Linked DNA regions of Lepisosteus oculatus. The protein of the gene in region 1 interacts with the protein of each later gene in a biochemical or structural test. Links are inferred from orthologs where the notes say so. Each region holds a gene or a part of one and is shown on either strand. Other genes may lie near its edges.

What was found. The genes of interacting proteins can lie anywhere in the genome.
Region 2: the proteins of dtl (region 1) and kmt5aa form a complex in vitro, tested with the Homo sapiens proteins (2 studies listed by BioGRID, with this or other methods). The link is inferred for Lepisosteus oculatus from reciprocal best matches to the Homo sapiens genes DTL and KMT5A.

What each region holds. Positions count from the first base shown.
Region 1 is NC_090697.1:46,093,951-46,104,418, forward strand, and holds the start of dtl (denticleless protein homolog), read right to left. Parts: upstream 4,473-10,468; 5' UTR 4,360-4,472; coding exon 4,308-4,359; intron 3,475-4,307; coding exon 3,349-3,474; intron 1,872-3,348; coding exon 1,779-1,871; intron 1,313-1,778; coding exon 1,251-1,312; intron 809-1,250; coding exon 688-808; intron 1-687. Other genes in the region: ints7 (integrator complex subunit 7), read left to right, coding at 4,978-5,071, 6,597-6,726, 7,591-7,737, 8,320-8,457, 9,601-9,647. UniProt on the Homo sapiens protein: Substrate-specific adapter of a DCX (DDB1-CUL4-X-box) E3 ubiquitin-protein ligase complex required for cell cycle control, DNA damage response and translesion DNA synthesis.
Region 2 is NC_090717.1:7,592,230-7,602,787, reverse strand, and holds the start of kmt5aa (N-lysine methyltransferase KMT5A-A), read right to left. Parts: upstream 4,247-10,558; 5' UTR 4,007-4,246; coding exon 3,997-4,006; intron 2,521-3,996; coding exon 2,417-2,520; intron 928-2,416; coding exon 771-927; intron 1-770. Other genes in the region: sbno1 (protein strawberry notch homolog 1), read left to right, coding at 8,142-8,144, 9,966-10,082. UniProt on the Homo sapiens protein: Protein-lysine N-methyltransferase that monomethylates both histones and non-histone proteins. Specifically monomethylates 'Lys-20' of histone H4 (H4K20me1).

The DNA.
Region 1 (10,468 bases):
GGTTAAGCCTCTAAGTCCACCTCAGGATATTTACTTATTTCAAGATGATGAATGTACAGCTGGAGCGTTGCAATACTATTTTCAGTAATGGACCAAACTGGTGAAAGTTTATAACTATATACAGTCAACACAATGGTTTCCTGAATATCCGCATAGTAGAAGAAATAAGCTAAATAAATGAAACGGACTAGTGGGTTGGATTTCTGCTCTGATTATGCATTAGCCAAGGAAATGAATGAGACTAACATGCTGGGTGTTGTGTTGTTGTGCTAAAGAATTTAAGCATTGCACCTTTTCATTCATTCTGCATGAGACACAGAGCTTTGATTCTCATTACTATTCACTAAGGTGATGAGGAACTGAACTTTTCATGGTCAATGCTGGCTGCAATTCTGAATTAGAGTTATCAGTGCTGAGACTCTAGCGTAAATTCTGCCCAGATATAAGAAATATCTGCTGTCAAAAATATTCCCCAAAGATCACAAAGGTACTTTTGCTACCAGACTGAGGTCCTTCCAACTTGTTACCAACCCATTAGAACTTCAGGTGAGAAGCTCCACCTTTGCAACGTCTTTTTCTGTTGTGTCAATTTTTTCATATCTTAACCAGGTTCCAGACGTAACACTGGAGCAAGACATGTTTTTTTTGGGGGGTAGAAAAGTCATTGCTCAGTTCTGTGAGCCTCACCCTTTTCCTGCCTTGCAAAAGCTACCGATTTCAGGCTGCACTGGTGCCCTTTGAAGGTGCCCAGGAGGTCTTCTGTCTTCACATCCCACAGCTTTGCTGTCTGGTCCCCAGATGCTGTAACCTGTGGGGTAACAAGGGAATCCATTACTGGAGAACAGCAGGTGTATGAATCCTGAGTCACTGGACAGACATGTCCATCTCTAGAGGGTGATAAACCAGTAAAGGAGATATGATACTCCTTACAGAGAAAACATTTGCAGAAACTCCCATTACATTGTAGAGTTTTCTAAAACTCCAGACTGGAAAAAGGATCAATATTTATTAATAGCAAAATCCTGTACAGAGTTTTGAGATTACACTTGAATTCCAAGTAATTTAGTTTTCCTATAGGATAACAGACAGAGACAACAGAGGATCTACAACCACAAGACAGAATGTCTGAGCTCTGCTTGAACTGGTTAAAATATACCTAAATATCTAAAAAGATACTAGGTGTTTGCTTTAGTTAATTTAGAATTTTTGAGACACGGTTTCTTCACATGTAAGAAATCAATGGCACTCACAAGTCGCGGCTCTCCAGGAACCCAGGCAATATCAAAGACGGCATTCGTGTGAGCCAGCCAATCTAAAGAGAGGGGGGACAAAGAGCTAAGGTTCAAGTACATACTTTTCAGAAGACACCCACGTGTTCATTCCTGTGAAGGAATTGGTAAAAGTTTTTTACTTCCTTTACAAAATGAAATTATCATTCATCACTGCACAGATACAGATGTCTTTACTAAACACCTCCTGGTCTGGTGTTTTTCTTTTGTGTGGAAAAGTGACGAGTGCTCACATCTTAGGGGACACTATTCACATCAGGATCTTTTCAGGAAGTGAAGTGTGGCAATAAGGTATTGCAAGGTATTGGAACAGGGAGGACAATGGCTCCAACAGTCGTAGTTCATTCCACTTTAGGTCTGTTAGACGGAAACTTTATAAGCAAAGGCTTGTGCTGTATGACGATGTTATGACTGGGGGGAGGGGGGGGGAATCAAGCAAAGAAGCAGAGTTGATTCAGATAAATGGAGACCCTTTCAATCACTCTTTACCTTTCAAAAGTGGACGCCTGCGTGACTCTGTGTCGTACAGCCTGACGACACCTTCTTCGTTTGCCACAGCCAGGATCTGCTGCAGGCCTGGAGCTAGTGAACAGAGACCCACGTTACAGCGACAATTATCCTGAGAAAAGTTTTCTGTGTATAACACCAGAGGAACTAACTACGAGTAACAGAATCCATTTTCACGTCTTAAATCTGACACTAAGCAATTTTGTAAAAATTACTGCTAACTCACAATTTTCAGAAAAGAAATCTCACAAGCAGATGAACTCCAGTCAACACCAAATTAATTTTACAGAACAGTGTGCTGTTTGTCAACAGCCATTAACTTGCCGTGTCTTTCTAGACATAAAAGTCCTTTAATAAGACATGTAAACTGTTCAGCTGTATAAAAGATGATGTTCGTCTTAACTCATCCTTATTTAGTTGTAATTTGCTCTTTAAACGCCTCTGATAAAGACTAAACAAAGCTAAACACCTATACCTGACATCTATATAACAAGCTTTAACATAGTTGTGTTAAAAAGTAATTTCGGAATTTACAATACATAAAAAGTACATTTCACAATAAGGTCAAATCACAAAGCCAAAAAACGAAGGAGATAAAGAATATAAAACAGTGACAATGTTTTTCAGAAAAATAAGGTTTTAGACTAGAATTAAAAGCACTAAAATGTTGCTGCATTACTCATAGATGGTATTCCAGAGCATAGCGACAGAATGTGGTATCACCCCGAAAGTGTAGATGAACCACAGAAACACCAAAAAAGATCCAAGTCAAAAAGAGTGGAAAGGAGGAAAAGGGTATAGATACTGACTAGATACCAGAGGGTCGCACCATGTAGACTAATGAAGGTAAGAAGGATTTGGAAATTAACAGGAACAGGAATCCAAACACTCCAAAACAGGAGTGACGTGACAAGATCATTTGTAAGTGACCTAGTCGGGATTTAGCTTCCGAATTTTGAACCTACTGTAATTTAAGAGTAGCCTAGAGATTCCTGCACAAAGAAATGCAGAAACATCCTCCCCAACCCCCTCTAAAGAGCGGACACCTTAGGAGGTAACCTAGAACATTTCTAAGAAGGAAAAACAAGCACTGTGCATAAAGCAGTTATTTTTTATTTAAATTATTTTTCCTAATAATTATCCATTTGTTTTTCTCTTGAGTTTTGTTGGGTGCAAGGTCACATTAAAGACGCAAATATGTCTGACATAATTTTTCTTTGATTTCTGGCTTTACATCACAAAAACCTGTAATTTCAGTAAGGGTGTGTAGACTTTTTATATCTGCTACATGGGTTTCAAAATGAAGCAGGATCGAAGATAATCCCCAAATCCATTCTTCCAATTTAGAACTCAAACGAGGTGCCCTCAACAGGTAAAGCTACAGAGTGGGATTTAAAGAAAAAACCCAGTCACGTTACTGGATTTAATATCAAACCAAATAAGGAAATGAGCAAAAAGTGAGGATTTAAGATGAGGGCGATTTATTTCAATCCACATCATATTTAGCTTGTAACAGGCTAAAACACAAATAGACTTTTTGGCGATCCTCTACCTGTAGAAAACGTGCATCCGAAGGGAGGAACTGGAACCCCCATATCGCCATACGAGATGTGCTCATCTTGTCTAGCACACTGGTAACAATCTAACAGGGAGGAAAGCGGATACACACGCTCCGGCCCTGTAAGGGAAAACAGTGTTGAGAGTTCATTCATTCTTGTTAAATTAAGCCCGCGCGACCGCTCCCGTCCACATCTATTCATTTAAAAAACTCCGTCAGAGTGTAAGTTTCTACGATCTACTTCGTACGCGATTTTGCTTAAATCCTTTAAAATATAGTTTAACGTTAAATAGAACAGTTAAGAGTTTCATAAATAAATTCAATGAATCCTAAAAGTTTCATTGGTCTAAACGCCGTTTTACAGTGTGGCCTCTGTTTTAGAAATACTGATCGCATTGATAAAAGCTTCCGTGTCCACATCGCGATCACCAATATCATCAATATAATGGATTTTGGTATTGCTTTCTCGAAACCGATGAGTTAAGAAGCTGATTTTAGATGGTTTCACACAGAGAAAAACCGAAAATGAATCGTATTGAAGCGTGTTTCCCACCCAACCCCCTCATCTTTACATTTTAACACCCCACCGTAGAGGAAGAAAGAGCACCATTTTGAGCAGCAAAAGCGAATCCTTTTACTTTAGGAAAAATAAAATGAATGAAAAGCACTTTAAATATATTCATCCGCGTTGATCACCTCATAATTAGAAGATAATGGCATAAATAGACACAAAAGCTAATTTCAGAACGCCCCCCAAAAGAAACAAGTTAAACAAGAAATGGTCGATCTTTTTACTTTCTCTCTTTAAATAAGTCTTGATTCAAATACTATGCAAGGTATTTAAGAGGCAAAATGTGAAGATCTAACGCATTCCTCCCCCAGTTTTGAAGATTAATTGACTAGAGAGCCAGTACTCTATATTAAATCATCACCTAGCAGCTAATTTAACTTACCATTGTGCCTCCTTCTGAGAACTCCTCTATCAACAATGGAACGAAATAGCATCTTGCAATTTGTTATTGTGTTTAAAACTCAATTGCAAATTAAATGGATTTAAATTTCACAATGCAGCACCACTAGCTGTGTATCTCTTCCTAATGAAATACACAAGTACCCTTTCCCGCGAACTCAGAAATGAAAAAAGAATACGAAACACCCGCCTAAATGACGTTTCGCTACATGATTGGTCAAGAAAGCACAGAGTGGTCAGACTCCACCCACTCTGCGTAACAAAGCGAGTACCAGTCAGAGATACCTGGATCCAGATTAACTACTCAATAAAGTACAGATCCCAACCCTCTCCCATAACCTACAGAAAATATTACCTCCTCAAACAGGTACCAAAACTTCCCGGTCATCTAGCATTTTGAATATCCACTGATGTCACGTTATTGCGCCTTTCTTGCGGCCTAGTGGCGGCAGCACGTTTACGTCATGGGCGGGTAGTCGAGTGTTTATGTCACTTCCTGCCGCTTTGCACTGCTGGGATGTAGCAGTTTCTTTTGTGCCATGTATGCAGTATGATTGTGTTTTAATTGAAAAGTCCTTTTTAAAATCAGATTCTCAAACGTATATTGTAATAGAGAAAATTGTTGACTATATTTGACTTTCAGTCTAGGAATCATGTCTTTAACAACGGCGCGATCATTCTTGTCAGAAGCTGGTTACGGGGAGCAAGAATTAGATGCCAATTCTGCTCTGATGGAGCTGGACAAAGGTAGTTACACACACCTGAGTAAAACGCGTGCAATGCTTTGAGCTTCGAGCTGTTAAAAATGTAAGAGGTCGTTCATGGGTGCTGCTGTTCTGTAATAAAAATACTTTGTTTTGGTGGATTCATGTAAACACCAGCCTAGGCCGTTTTGGTTCTTCCGTTCCACTGTGACTCTGCTGCTCACAGTATAGATTAGGCAGTTAAACTAATTGTTGGATCAATGATTAATCATTTTACTGAGAGAGACGAATTTGTTCAGTCCTTATTATTCAGTGATTGCTGCGCTATATGGTGTAATCTAAATCGTAACATATACAGTATATTATGTATATACAGATAGTAGACAGAATATGCACAACCCAGTGGAATGAATGCACGAATGTGCCATGCAATTCTGCAGAAGGGATGCAGCACCATTCTTCCACGAGAAAGCCAATCAACTCTCACCTGGTTAATGGAAGTGGAAAACACTATCTCACCCCACGGTTCAGAATATCCCATAAATGCTTGGTAGAGTTTGGATCAGGTAACAGAGAAGGCCATGTGATGTGGAAAACAGCAGTGTCACCTTCATCAAAACACTGGGTGACCACGTGCGCTAAGGGCATTGACATCCTGGAAGACTCCCCTCCAGGCAGGGAAGAAATTCTGCAACACAGGGTGAAGGTGATCACTCAGTGCCATTAAGTAGTGGTTACATTAACCTTACCTTCTAAGGGAAGGAGTTCACCTAAACTGTGGCAGGAAAATGTACCCCTTAACATTACTGTACCCAGGGCTGTAGAGTTCTATAGGATGGTGCCAAAAATGGTGAAGAACGATTTATCTAAACAAATGACCTTTTTCTAGTACTTGATAGTCCATTTGCTGTGCTCTTTGCACCACTAGTCTTACAGGCGTGTGTTACAAGAGGTAATGAGTGATTTGCGCTGTGCAACCCGTCTAAATGATCCTGCTGTGTGGATTTCTCAGCATTTCTCTTGATTAAACTGGCTGCTTGTGCCCCAGGATGAAATTTGTAGTTCTGATTAATGCTTGGATATTACCATCCTGGAGTATACTGACCCATTGTTAGGACTGACCGAAGATGTCTTTTCTATTGGGTTCCATGCTGAAATCAGCTTAGACACTATGACTCTTGATCACTTAAGTTTCTGCTAAACACCCCTTCAAAGTCACTGATGTCTCCCCTTGAAGTTATAATAAAGGCCAACCAGGCCTGTCCAGCATTTCTATACATGACTCTAAGAACGCTGGGTTGTTAATTGCTTAATTAATGTAATGAATGAGTTCTGTTTTTCCTCCATTAGCTGTGTATTTCTGTATATGTCATTGAATCATATATACATACACTAAATCCTTTTTAGATCCTGCACCAATCCTTGTAAAGACTGCAAGATTGTTGTATCACCTGAATTCTTTCATCTTAAGTTATTTACTGTATGAAATCCTAAGTTGGAGTCTTCAGATGTGCAGCAGCACAGTTTTTTTACTAACCAGTATTGTAAAAATCGTTCCCCCCCTGAAGGGCTGCGGTCCGGCAAGCTTGGAGAACAGTGTGAAGCTGTGGTGCTCTTTCCCAAGCTGTTCCAGAAATACCCGTTCCCTATCCTGATCAACTCCGCCTTTCTGAAACTGGCAGACATCTTCAGACTGGGGTATGTGTTGAAATGAGCTCCCCTCCAAGCACAGCACTTCGTCTTTTACTGCTCTGCTTAACTGAGTTGCTTCTTAGGGTTTCTTGCTAAATTGAAAAAAAATCAAACAATTTTTGCATTTAGTGTGATTTTTCAGGCTGTTTTAGTTTTTGCATGCCTCAATGGAGAAGGTTTTATACAGTATGGCAGCATGAACTCACCATGTTCTGAAGCCATGCAAAACGTAACTGGTGATCAGTCACAGATAATTTGTTAAATTAAGTAGTATGAAGATTATTGGGAGCAAAACTCTTCAGTCCTGAAGGACAAGTGTTCCTTTAATTGGAAAAATTACTGGCCTAATTGAACAAAAAGTACAGGTGGTCCCAGACTTTAGAAATTAGTGATTTCGGAATACTCAGTGACTTCTGCATGGTAGTACAATGCTACTCTACGAAAGCTGAATTTGACATTACAAACAAAATCTAACAGCATCATTTCTGAATGTCACCTTCGTTCCCTTGAATTCCTAAGAGAAGGGGTCGTCTCTTTTGTTTCCTGTAAAATTTTGAAAGTGCAGTCAACAACAGGGCTCATCTGGCAGTCACAGTTTATTATTATATTACTTACATTCCAATGAGTCATTACATGTTTTTCAAAAATAAAAAGTAACTTGTGTTTTTTTAGCTGAATGAGAAATGTTATCATATTCCTTTCTGACTTGTTTTAAAATTCTGTAATGTTAAAACCCAATTGAATGTGATACTAGGGTGTATGTCACAAACATCTACTTTTTAACCATCTTAAAATAAGATGGACCCTTAGTTTTTGTGTTTTTATGAACAGTAGGCATTATCTCCCAATTGTTCTGTCTTTCTGTCACAGAAACAATTTTCTACGGCTCTGTGTGCTGAAGGTGACTCAACAGAGTGAGAAGCACCTGGAAAAAATCTTAAATGTTGATGAGTTTGTCAAGAGGATTTTCTCCGTCATTCACAGCAATGATCCAGTGGCCAGAGCCATCACTCTCAGGTACCGAGAATTGTAAACGATAATTAAGTAAGAATTATATAATTAAAGGGATCATCAAACATGGCCTTTTTCCAAAGAAAGATACCAGAGCAAGCCTGTGGATCAGTTACATGACACTCAGAGATCCCTCACTAAGGCATTTGTAACAAGAAATTGCTTAGAAAAGTATGGCAGATACTGAGTTCCTCATGGTGTGGCGCAGGGGGTTAATTTCCACATGGAGTTTCTATGCTCTCCCCGTGTTTGCGTGGTTTTCCTCCGGGTGCTCCGGTTTCCTTCCACAGTCCAAAGACATACTGGTAGGTTCATTTGGCTTCTGGGAAAACTGGCCGTGGTGCGAGTGTGTGCATGTCTGTGTCTGTGTGTGCCCTGTGATGGAGTGAGATAGACTCCAGCTCCTCCCACAACCCTATACTAAATAAATGGATAGGGAAATGGCAGTAATACACTCTGTGTGCTGAATGATATACTATAATAAGGGTTTTCCTTGTCAAGTGATGATTGTATCCCTGTTTATGCCTCTTGTTTCTGTTTTGGTGATTTTTTTCAATGGTGACTCGAGTTTTTCTTTTCATTTTGAAGAATGCTGGGTAGTATGGCCTCCATTATCCCAGAGAGGAAGAATGCCCACCACAGCATCCGCCAGAGTCTGGACTCTCACGACAATGTGGAAGTGGAAGCAGCGCTTTTTTCCGCGGCCAGCTTCTCTGCCCAGTCCAAGTCAGTGTCACATTTTTGTTTAGAGTCAGGGTGTTGCTGGGGGGGGGGAGCATTTCCTTAAACAGATTGTCTCACACAGTGAATGCGTGGGGATTGTTACACTCCACATTTCGTATCACTTGATTTTGGTAATCGCCTTGGTAATGAACCTTCCACCAAAAATAAGTTCTGGAAAAAAAACTTCTCAGGTCAAGCTAAATGTGAGGGCACAGAAAGAAGCAAATCATAAAGGTTAGTGTGGTGTGAAACTGATCTCGCCTGTGTGATTTCCTCACAAAGCCTCTCAAAAGCCGTTTAAAATGAAAGAGTTGGGAACTGGAAGAGATCAGTCGAAAAATGACCGATAATTTAAAAAACATTCCAAAAAGTGAAACTCTGTAAGTATGAAAGGTGGTTATTGTGAAATATTCCTATAAACATGTATTTTTTAAAGGAGCCCGTTATATCACTTTGCTACTTACCTGGTTCTTGATTTTCTTAGGTGTTTTTACCCAGGTACTTTTCAGTGCTTTCTAAGTGTCTCAGTGAGACGTGTTCACTAAAAATAAAGCTCTTATAAAGAAACATTAGTCACTTAATGTCACTAATGTGACATAGTGTGCACTCAGATCCTAACACCTGCTCATGTGACTTTGTCATGCAGTCAGTACTGAAGGAACCATTGATAATAACCTTAGCCAGATCGAAGCCACATTCCCTTACAATGATGCGGACATCCTTGCTGGGCAAATGAACACAGGTTCTGTTTTGCAATAAACTAACAGTATGTGTTAGTTCTGAACGTGGTGCTTTCCTTAATTGAACTGGTGAAGCAACTTGACACTTCTCCGCCTCATAGATTGTGTAGCATGACTGCTGATGCATTATGGCTGCTGCAAGACCTCAAGGATTGACCTGCACTTTAATGATGGATGAACTGGTCCCCTCCTATATACTGTATAAAGCAATTTTAAGTCCTTTGGGGTAGAGTACTATGTATGTTTACACAACTGTTATCATACCGTTATATACATATAGCTGTCACACAATAAATGGATGAACACAATAAGACTGATAATGGTTTAATAGTATTCACAACAAGAAAATGCATGTGTGTTATAAAATGCGTTGGTCTGATTTTGTATGTCTGCGTTTTATTTGCAGAGATTTTGCAGCAGGAATTTGCAACAAAATTGGTGAAATGATCCAAGGTAGGTTGTTCCGCTGAAGCCCATTTTATTCCTCCTTGAAAGGTGTTGTTCTGTCAGTCTTGTAATTTTCTTAATTTGTTATATATACGGTCACTGACCTTTAAATTAAATTTGTACTTCCATTTAGTTCAGTTAGTGGTGCCATCGCCCTATTGTATGCATTTTGTTTTCCACAGCCCAGTTGGAAATTGCCATTTGTAACAAAACATCAGTTGTCCGACAGCTCATCTGTTTTGTTTGGCCAACAGCGCAAATTGCCGAGCCAAGGAGAAAGACAGTGGATTTGACATAGCACTCACTGGTTTCATTGCCAACGGCAGCATCTCTGTTACATGAACGAACTAAACATACCTGTGTTGTTCGTCTGATTTTATGACACTGTTTTAGAACACCTGTTCTCAGCTTGCCAATAGATATAGCATTTCATTCTTAATGGTATTATAATATATCATATCATATGTGGATTATAGAAAGGATTTGATTACCGCATTGAGTTCTTTTCTAAGACAACTGTATGTTTGTTTCCATTTATTTTTGGTAATACTAGGGATTGAATAAACTAGGCTTGGTTTCACCTGCCCTTTACTCAGGGCTGCACTCAGGCTCTGGTCAGGACCTGTTAATGCTGGTCGCAGCACAGCATTTTGTGGAAGTAATCCGGCTCTGCTAATTTCTTCTCCACACAAAGGGTTGTGGGAGTCTGGAACGACCTATGCAGCCACGTTGCCGAAGCCAGTACCATTGCTGAATGAGATTGTTGGATCAGATAGTTTCTAAAAACCAAATGGCATACAAGGGCTGGGTGTCTTTCGCTCAGTTGA
Region 2 (10,558 bases), on another chromosome or scaffold:
AATTCTAAACAAACACTACATTCTAATCTAATCATTCTAATTCTAATCAGTTTCCAAGCTGTATTCTTTAAGATAATTAGACCTAAACTTGAACACCTGGGATTAAATTTCTTCATTTTTTTGTAAATAAACGATCTCCATTAACCTTTGGTAGTAAAGATATTTTAAATCTTACAGGTAACGTTTTTTTTCTTCTGGAAGAACGTCTAATAATACTTTTTTAAAGGATCAAGACTTTGCTTATATGGTTCTTTATTAAAATAACACTTGTAATTGAAGGTCTGTTTTCGTCATGTTAAAATTTTAGACTGAAAAAGTTTGTGTATAATTGTTTCACAAGCTAAAATGAAATAAGTGGAATCATAAGATGGCTGCTGCTGAACACAGATGTCATTTATAAACGGAAACAATTTAACAGAGCTTTAACTCAGATCTCCTGACTTGTTTCGCATACGTCTAAAACCGATTCCTTACAGTAAATGCTAAATAAAACGTAACTTCTGTTTACAGTAAATATTCAGAGGAATGTTAAGAGGGGGCACTGGGGGGGTCCAAAAGGTCTAAAGATGAACAATGCAGAGATAAAAGTTTTTGCCTCTCCTCCAGGCTACACTGAGCATCACTAAATAGTAAACGGACCACTGAAATGGAGCTCTGCATTCCACATGAAGATGCTAGCTTATCAATTAGTTCCCTGCGTACAAAGTCAGAGTTTTTATACTTTATGCCTTTATGAACAAATCTGAGAAAGACGAAGTTTTGAACCATACCCTCCTCCTTCTTAGTGGATCCCTGCTGTACAGTACGTTTGCCGGGGCTTTTTCCGTCGTGTATATGTGCGATCGAGTTTTCATCATGAAGTGGAGAACGTGGCTTGCTGGGGCTCAAGAAAGGACGTATTGAGGACTGACCGTTATAAAATATATCCTGTTTCAACACAAGGGAGAGAATGCAGAAAGCAACGTTTGAACATTATTCTCGCCGTTCTTTCACATGACCTTCCTAAGCACAATACATTAGCAGTGTGCTCCCTAGACGTGCTCAGCATCAAGCTACAACAATTAAGAAATGTTATGCTTTGGATTGAAATGTAATATTCATCCATTTTTTGTCCAGTACAGGGTCACAGGAGAGCCGGGCAAATACCGGGCATAAGGCAGGATACGCCCTGGGTGGGACACCAGTCCATCACAGGGCAGACAGACATACACACAGATATGCACACACTCACACCAGGGCCAATTTTCCCAGGAGCCAATTAACCTACCAGTATGTCTTTAGACTGTGAGAGGGAAACCGGAGAGCACACCCATGCAAACTCCGAGAGAACATGCAAACTCCACACAGATAGCACCCCAGGCGTGGAATTGAACCCAGGACCCCAGCGCTGTCTCGCAATGCTAACCACTGCGCCCCCGTGCCACCCCTGGAAGGTGCTCCATTAGAATTAAATTGAAAGAAATTAATTACAGTTGTGTAGGTAACATGCATGTTTCTCGAAAGATGATGCACATCACACAAAGGAGACCAAATTCACCTAAAAACCTATTCCCCCAGACCAGATCATTATATTTTTAAATGCGAGTATACAAAAGCAGAAGCGCATCTTCCTTCTGTGTAACCGACGTAATGCAGATGTTCAAAACAGCACCGATTACACTGTTCATAAACCCCATTTTCGGGTCGAATTAACATGCAGCCCAGATTATTTCTGCAGCCTTCCAACATACTTCAAATAACAGCTCTAGAATGTCTAGGGACATTTATCTTCCTCCCTTTCGGAATTCTTTACACATTCAACAAAGTAACACTGCAATATGGCACACGAATGTCCAGAAATAATCGAGGATGCAGCTGCCCATACAGAATACATTCCTCAGTGAAGCAAGGTACAGTATTCTGTTGTATTAATGTACTAAAGAATTAAAAATTCGCAAAGAACCAAATGGAAGCTTAAACGTCCGCCTCATCACTCCTTCTAATATGCATTTATTATTGGGGTTTTAGCATCATACGTACGTGAAAACATAAGGCTCTCTTACTGTTCTTAAATTTACAACCTGGCCGTGCTAGTGTATACAGTAGTTTATAACATGTATAGTGTGCATAGTTTTCAAATAAACTATACATACAGGCAATGTATACGGGCCGGATATTAGGGAAATAACTTCAACATTTAAAACGACAAACAATATACTACTTTAACATATGTTTGTGCAAATTAATTTGGAATATAAACAACGCAAATGATCTACATAAACATGAAAACTTAGCACCGGTAGAAAAAAAAGCAGCTCCAACTTTTCTAAAGAGGTCTCTTGTACAATTTATATAGGGATACATTTTCTCGTAGTTGTTATTTCTGCATTTTTTCCGTTAAAATATCAATATTTAAAAAAAAGAAGTCGAGACCTACCCCGTTCATTTCGGGTTTGTTTTCTTTTTTTCCTTTTAGCTGCTCCGTGGTGTGGGCAATGTCCTCAGTTTTGCTTTTACCGTGGTTCGGGGTTTTCTTTTTCCCTTGGAAAATGAAAATTAAGGCATTTTACAGGGTCGATATTTCTTGAAAAGCAAAATAAAACCATAACTGCTAGGGCGTCCCTTTTTTTCCTTTTATTTTTTTTTTTAATCAACCCAAGCAGTTTTCACAGTTCCTCCCCTCCGCCATGTTTTTAACTCAGACACGGGGAAAGTAACCACGTGAACATTTAAAGGGACTGCAAACTCTGTGCTTGCACCGCCGCCTCTGTCCAGCAGAGAGAGTTGGGTTCACAGACTCAGTGCACCCACAACGTGACTGGGGGAAAAATATATACGTATGCTTTAATTTTTATTGAATTGATTCGTTTTTAAATGAAGTTTAGTCGATCTCCCCTATTTATCTCCTAGTTTATACATGCGTTTCGATTCTATCTTGTGCATTTCTTTCCTAAACATTAACCTTTTTTTTGCTACAATGAAGGTCGGTTTATCCTAAAGAGTGCAGAAGAAACATTCACGCTGCACATGGAACTTTATGCTGCAACTCTTCAGCTTGCTTATTAATAAGCTGCTCCAATTTTTCTGACTCAACAGTTCTTGATAGGTGATGAACTGATGATGAACGGACAAGACTGACATTGGACAACCTTCACAGCGAGTCAGTGTCTCTCCAGTCCCATTGGTTATACTTCAGCTAGCAGACTTGAGTGAGGGCAAACTTAAAACTCACCACAGAGGGCAGGGTTCACACTAATGGCAAATCCCAGTCAGCTTCTTTAAGGAACTTAAAGTGGGCCTTAAATAGAAAACTGAAATAAACTACCCGTGATTAAAACCCAGTAGACACAGGGGTATTCCACGACCAGAATTTAGAAACCCACGTACTGTGCGTGAGAATTAGATATAAGATCTTACAGATCTCTCTAGGGACTCCCTCAAATTTTCCCAAAGGAATGTCCCGTCTAAAGAAGGGATACTTGCTTTGGAGAATTCCCGACCACCGACCTGGTTTCATCAGCTTCTGGTCTGCCTGAGTTCTCCCTGGCATAGCTGGTTAATTTTATCAGTTAACTCCATCATTATACTACTTCTGCCAAGGCTCTCTGGGTGTTTTTACAGATAAATTACACCTCTAAGGTTTTGAATTAAGGTTGTGTCTAAGCAAATGAGTCAATTGTTTAAATTGCCTCGTCAGGGTGGAAATGAAAAGCAGAAGGCACTAGGCCCTCCAGAAACTGGAGTCTGAGACGCTTTTACTTTAAACCCTTCCAATTCTGCAATGCCTACAAAATGCAGAAAATCTAGACATCTTTAGCTACCACTCCTGCAGTTGTGAATGAGCTTCACCGCTGCACAACACATTCTGCCTGAAGGGACACGATCGATTTCTTTCCAGTACCATCTCCATCGGTATTTTCCAAGTATATAGCACACATGGATATTATATATTCATTAAAAAAACGAGCTCGGCACGTGAATTTCATGCACACAAATTGACCGAAAAACGTTACTCACCTCTCGCCATAATAGCCGAGCCCCAGACGCGAACGTGATATTACAAGCAATGCAAACCAATTTCTCTTAAAGTATTTTAACAGTAACCATAAAAAAATGGGCTGTTAAACTACACTTTTATAAGATGTTGCTCTTTACGAGATAATCCCTACTCTCCTACCCCTATTGGCCATTTAAACAGCCATTCACTTCATATTTCCGTACAAATTATCACCCATTGTTGCTCATGGCCGTCTCAGGCTTCCGTACCACGCTGTGATTGGCTGATTAAATGAATCGTACCCAAACAGTCCGTGAGGTTTGAATTCCATGCTTACGTCCGATTGGCTGAGAAGTTTGAAGGCCTGAAATGTGATTGGTGGAAAACTCTACGATGGCCCCTACAGTGCATTTTCCCATGTGGCTATTGCTACGAGATTCTATACACATTTTGTGATGTCTTACATTTCCAGCACTGCCCCTGTATTGCTGAGCATCCTCTTTAATGACGTTAAGTCAAAACCTTCCGGTCACATTTCAGTCAGATCAAGACTTTAAGTTTCCCTTAAAATAATGTGACACTTAAATTGCTATAAATGTGCATTTACGCATATTGCGTATTAACAAAATAAAATATGCAGATTTAAAAGAAGTGAATGAGGAACGGTGATCTGTTTTACTTGAATGAAAAGTGAGCTGGTCAATATTGGAAGAAATAAACAGCGAGTTTTTATTGTCTGCTGTAAGAAATATGTTAATACATATCAAAAAGGTGCTACAGATCACATCAGAAACAGATCTTAAGCATCGATTCTCGCGGGAAAACTAACTGCCTTATTTCCGATTAGATAGTAGATTTATCTTGTTAAATGGATATTGTGGATTTGTATTCATCCTGGAAATAAAAATTCATTTACGTGATCACCTATTCCCATTAAGGGAAACGTAAAACACCAAGATGCAGTAGAACATCTTAATCTTAATGTATCTAGAAAAAAAGCCTGATTAGTCTCAGGGGAAATACCTAGCATATACAGTATAAGGTTTGTGAGAAACCTTATATAAGAACACAATATTCGGGTGCATAGACTTACATTCAGGCAACAATGTAGTGTATAAAATTGTGATTAAACAACGCAAGGAGAAGTTTCAAATACAAATACACACGAAACAAAAGAAAGTATATGACTTTATTGACCGCTTGTTCATTTTATAATTCATGAAATCTGCAATTCAGTTCATAAGAAATAAATATATAAAATATGGATGAATCCAGAGAAAGTCGTTTCAGTCGTAGAAATTAATTATTTCAAAGAGAAGTAATTAATTGTATGTGTGTGCTAAACTATTCCACAAGGGGTAGCAGCCGAATCCATTGAAATCAGTTGCTAGTTGTATACTCTGAATAAAGCTTTGTTTTCTGTTGCTTTAAATATACAGTACAGGACTTGGTTGGCATAGCAATTTTCTGGAGAGCAAGATGATGAATTATAAAGACGGTTGCAGAACGGGATTAGTTGCTAAGGGAATTTAGGGAGACGTCTTAGACGTTTTCTAAATGAATTTGGGTTTTCCTCAATGTATCGATGACAGACGCGTGAGAAAGGCTACAGCACCCTGTTAGAACACATTCTTTTCATGTTTACTGCTATTGTTTGTAACTGTGCCTATGTCTCTATGACAATAAGACCCTGCTGCAGTTAATGCTGTCATTATTGTACAAGGCAACCAGAGAACAGGGTATGCAGCCGTGCTGACTCATCAGCTAGGGCTGTGGATTTCATTTCATTGAGGCAGAGGAGGCCGATAAGTGAGTATCTTTAAAACAACATAGACGAGGCAGCGAAGGACGCCTTCCTGCAGGAACGCAGCAGCAAAAGCCCGACTCTCGATAGAGGATCCAGTCATCTTCCACGTTTAGTTTTTTTTTTTAATTTTATTTCGCTGCATCCCTTACCTGTCGGTCTTTTCCTCATAGTCGTGTATGGGACTATGCTTGCGCTTTTCTTATGATGCTAGCGTGCTAGCGTGCTAGCGTGGTTACTCCGGCGAGTGATTGTAGTTCGTTTCCATGGCAAATGAATCTAATAATTGATCATTTCAGTGAAAGAACCAGTCAGGCGCACTGGGATGATTGAGTAAAGGAAGCGATATATATTATGTGTGGAACAGTGTGGAAGGAGTGACACAGTCGTGTTAATTTGTTATAATTAATACGTGAAAGGGGCACTCTCCTCATCTTTGACTTTGCTTGTACTGGGGTGTTGGAACAGATCTTGATTATACTGGGAAAAAAAACTATACAGAAGACATGATCATATGTAACCAAGGCAACAGTGAATCTAATAAAATCGCTGTCCTTTCATGCACCAGGTTTGGGGTCGATATCTTGTACAATTAATTGTGACACAAAGCCAGAAAGCACAAGCCTGTTTCGATGCGAGTAATACAAAGAGATCCTGACTGTGCATTTAATAGAAATCATAAATGTGACACAGGAATGACTTATTTCCAATGGGAAGGTTGTTTCCAAGAAGACAACCTATCTATTTATAAAAAAAAAAAACCAAAACCAAACTGTGGCGTTTTATTTTAAGTAGCTGATGCAATGGGCAGGGTCATGTTTTTGATTAAGAACTAGATTAAATCAAGCAAACGTGATCATTACGTTAATTTTTAACTCTAAATACCCCTAACACAATTCAAAGGAACTAAATACTCTTTCATACTTGGACAGAATTAATGGGGACTTCGTGGGCATTCCTGAAACCACAACACAGATCCAGGAACAAGCGGGTTATGCCCAAAATTCTTGTCTTTTTGTCTTCTTTTTACGTTGACCCTTGCCACTCGCTTTCTTGTGCTTGTTTCCTTGTTTAACTGTACTGCTGGAGATCGGATTAATACCGTAAAATACGGTTCAGTAAAACAACGGCAAGACTTGAGCTGTCGAGGGTGAGCCACTTCTTGTGCTGTATAAACCTACAAAACCCCAAACATCAACTCACGTCGGCATTGGATTGATCAGGTAGATTCGATCAGCATTTACCCAAAGCAGAAAAGACGAATCGAAATTAAAATCCGGTTCTCGGCGAGTGCCACAAGCAATAAATGTAAATATTAAGATGATTTTTTTTACAATCGTTACTCGAAGAATAAAACATGTAATAAATTCAAATAAACTACTCCAAACACCAATTTCAATGTTCACGACATTTCAATTATTCTAGTCTAAGGCTCCCTATCCCTCACATCATCTTATATTACAGATATTGTACAAAGAATATTTTAATCCCCCCGCATCAGCAGAGTTATAATTGTAAAGTCTCACCAAAAACCTAACCAAGACCTTCTCAATATGTCCCAAATCGATACTTCCGGTATCCCCCCTAAGGAAGTGCGTCATTCATCGTCACTTCCCGACCAAGGCCACGCCAGTGGTCACGTGATCGGGGCTTTTACTTCTCTCTTGCTTCCCCGATCCGATTAAAAATATAAGGAAAAATGGACCCGAACATTAATTTCGCCGCGCCAAGCCAGCGGGACCGCGTCCAGTTCCCGTGCCGTGGGACCGGCGGCTCCTATCGCGTTTTTCGAGCGGCAGGGACGCGATTCTGGAAGATTCTGCTCTCGGGGGCGGGCGTCACGTGACATCGCACGCGGCTCCGGCCGCTCGGTAAAGATGGCGGCAGTCGGATAGAAAGCGGCGGAGGAGCTATGTAGTAGTCACCTCGAGTCTGCTGCGGTTATTTGGAAGCCAGAACTTCGACAAGTAAGTGTGCGTGTGGAGGCTGCGGGATCGTAAAATGGCCGCCGAAAATTCGTGGACTTCACTGGTGTAAAAAAAATAAATAAAAAAGAATGGGACCGGTGCTGGCGAAACTGTAAAAAAAAAAAATAGATTTGTTTTGTGTTCGCCTTGTCCGCTGTTACGGTGACTGAGCATATCACGAAGAGGTCCGAGGCTTTAAGGACTGGCTTCACAACAGCATTGTCACAGACCAGCCCCGGGCTCCAAGGCGGCAACTCGCGTTTTCTGGACTCTTGGTTCTTTCTGAGCACGTCAAAACACTCTTTCCTCTCGCTAAGGAAGGTGTTTTACAGATGACTCTGCTGGATTTGTAGATTGATTAAATCTTTATAAACAATCTACATTTATCCTCTAAATGGTAAGTATATGTTTTCGTTCATCGAGTGCTAATCTAACCTTACATGGTGTTCTGTAACTATACATTATAAAGCCCCTTGCAGTGTTAAATGATATTTTTTATTTGAAGTTATATTAATTATGGATGATGCACGTTAATCGCGTTTCTAGCCCCAAATAGTGTACAGTAGCCTTATGTTCCCCCACATGTTATCGTATTTAATTATTTTATCTGTCGAATTTTATAACTTAAATTGTAATTCGATGGTTGAAACATTTAACCATAAAGAACATTACGTAGCTAGCACTATCCAAACCCGGAAGTTTATGAATTGAACACGTGTTTGAGTAGAGGTTATGACTCTGAAAATTGACCTTTTCGAATAATACTAATTCTGCTATCACACTTGTTTGGAGGGAAATAATTTTCAAATATACTCTTTGAGACGTGTCGGCTGTATAAATTAAAACATGTTTTCTTAGAGAGGTGACTGTCAAGACGCGTGGGCCATAGGCACATGAACGCACATCAATGTAAATTGACAAAGCTCATTAACAAAAGGAAAATAACTTAATGTGAACGACTAACATTATTTTCCTGTAAAACAATGTGTTTGTTTCCTGTCGTTTCAATCTCCTTGCTTGTAAATACTGCAATTTAAGATTCCCCCTTTATCATATGAGTGACCAAGGGTATTTCGTTTTAAAGTTAAGGTTTTGTAGCTTAAATGCCTTTTTTTGTGTAGTCAAGTGTATTTTGTATGAATACACTTATAGTCTAATCAGGTCTCATGCCAGGTATAAGTGCATTCCGTAATAACTCTGAACACATCCATTGGTGCTTTCTTACCACTCAGTGTCTCCTTTCAAAAAGGTAAAGAAAACTTCCAGTTTCCATTAAAAAGGATTAAGTTCATGAACAGATAATTGGACTGAATATTTGTCCACTTCTGCAATCGACTGTTTGCTGATCCTTAAAATGATGCGAGTGTAGTATTTTAGAGAGGTGAATATTGTCTCGTGCTGCCAGATGAGAGGCAGAAAGGGTTTTAACTTTAGGAATCTTCAGGGAAGTTTGGGCTCTTGTAAACTCTTACCGTAACTAAAGCTATGTAGGATAAGCACTTCAAACATTACTTTTGGTAATAAATTGTGCACTATTGTTACCAATCCCAATGCGTGTTTTAAAACAATTTCCACCAAGCACCAAGTTTATAGCTGACAATGGGGAGCCAGTTTCCAAAAATCCTAACAAAATGCAGAATATGTTTGCTACATTGTTGCTCATGTGGGTAGTTAAAATGTTCATTAATGTGTAATGAGCACATGGTCTGAGATGCATGCTACAGCAAACCACGCACTCGCATCTGCAAATCCTCCATAATGTTTATAGTTATAAATAATCCATAGCAGTGAATGAATGGTTAACTTTTTTCTGTGTTAATCACTAATATGTAATTGGATGCAACAGAATGCAGTAGACCCTGGAAACGAAAATGAAACCTCACTTTCCTGTTATGGGTCAGCTTGTTTCTGTTTACTTTTCTCTGGAGTTTAGTGTGCACCACCAAAAGACAGCTAGCCTGATCTCTAATTTGTAACACGTTGGTGTACAGTGCTTCTTAGTAGTGTGAGATAAGGTATTGAATATTTTTCTCATGTAAAATGCTTATATGACAGTGTATTGAACTTGTCGTTTTTTTTAATTAACTATAGGGCTCCCTTTTCTATAAAATGTATTGTGATTTTGTTTAGTGTTAGCTCAGGCTCATGTTTTTTGCTCCATGGGTGCTTTACTGGAATAAGAAAATGTCCTTTTTGGTTCTTGTCTCTGCTGTGGTAGATGATGGATCCAGGTCAAGATCTGCTGCTTGCTGCTCTGAGCGAGAGTGGGATCAGCCCCAATGACGTCTTCGATATTGACCCTATGGATGCTGGCATGCCATCAGCCATTCAGCAGGTAAGAATTGTTCTTAAAGCAAGTGGCATAAAGGCATAAGATAGAAGAAATATGGCTTGCAGAAGTTTAAACAATGCAAGACAAAAACCCATTCCTGGCTCCAAATTCGGCAATCTTAACTTGTTTGGTTGCTGCTTAATCTGAGATCTCAACTTTTTTTTTAATAAGGCCAATTGTATAGACTTCAACAGTATAGCTGGGATGATTTTCCAGACTTTCCCCACCATGTTATTAGTACTTCTGCAGTATTCCTTATTGGATGGTTAAAGGTTCTGCCATAGTGAATCTGTCATTTCTGAAAAATATTGATGTAGTGCCTCTTAATACTTTTTTTATTGATATACTGGAGAGATTTATGTGCATTCCAGAATATTTCTAGCAAAAATAGACTAATTTATTGTTTACAAATCATGTTTAATTTTTATGTTAGTCCTGTGTCTGCATGTTTTAAAAATATGGTGTTTCTGATTTTTTAT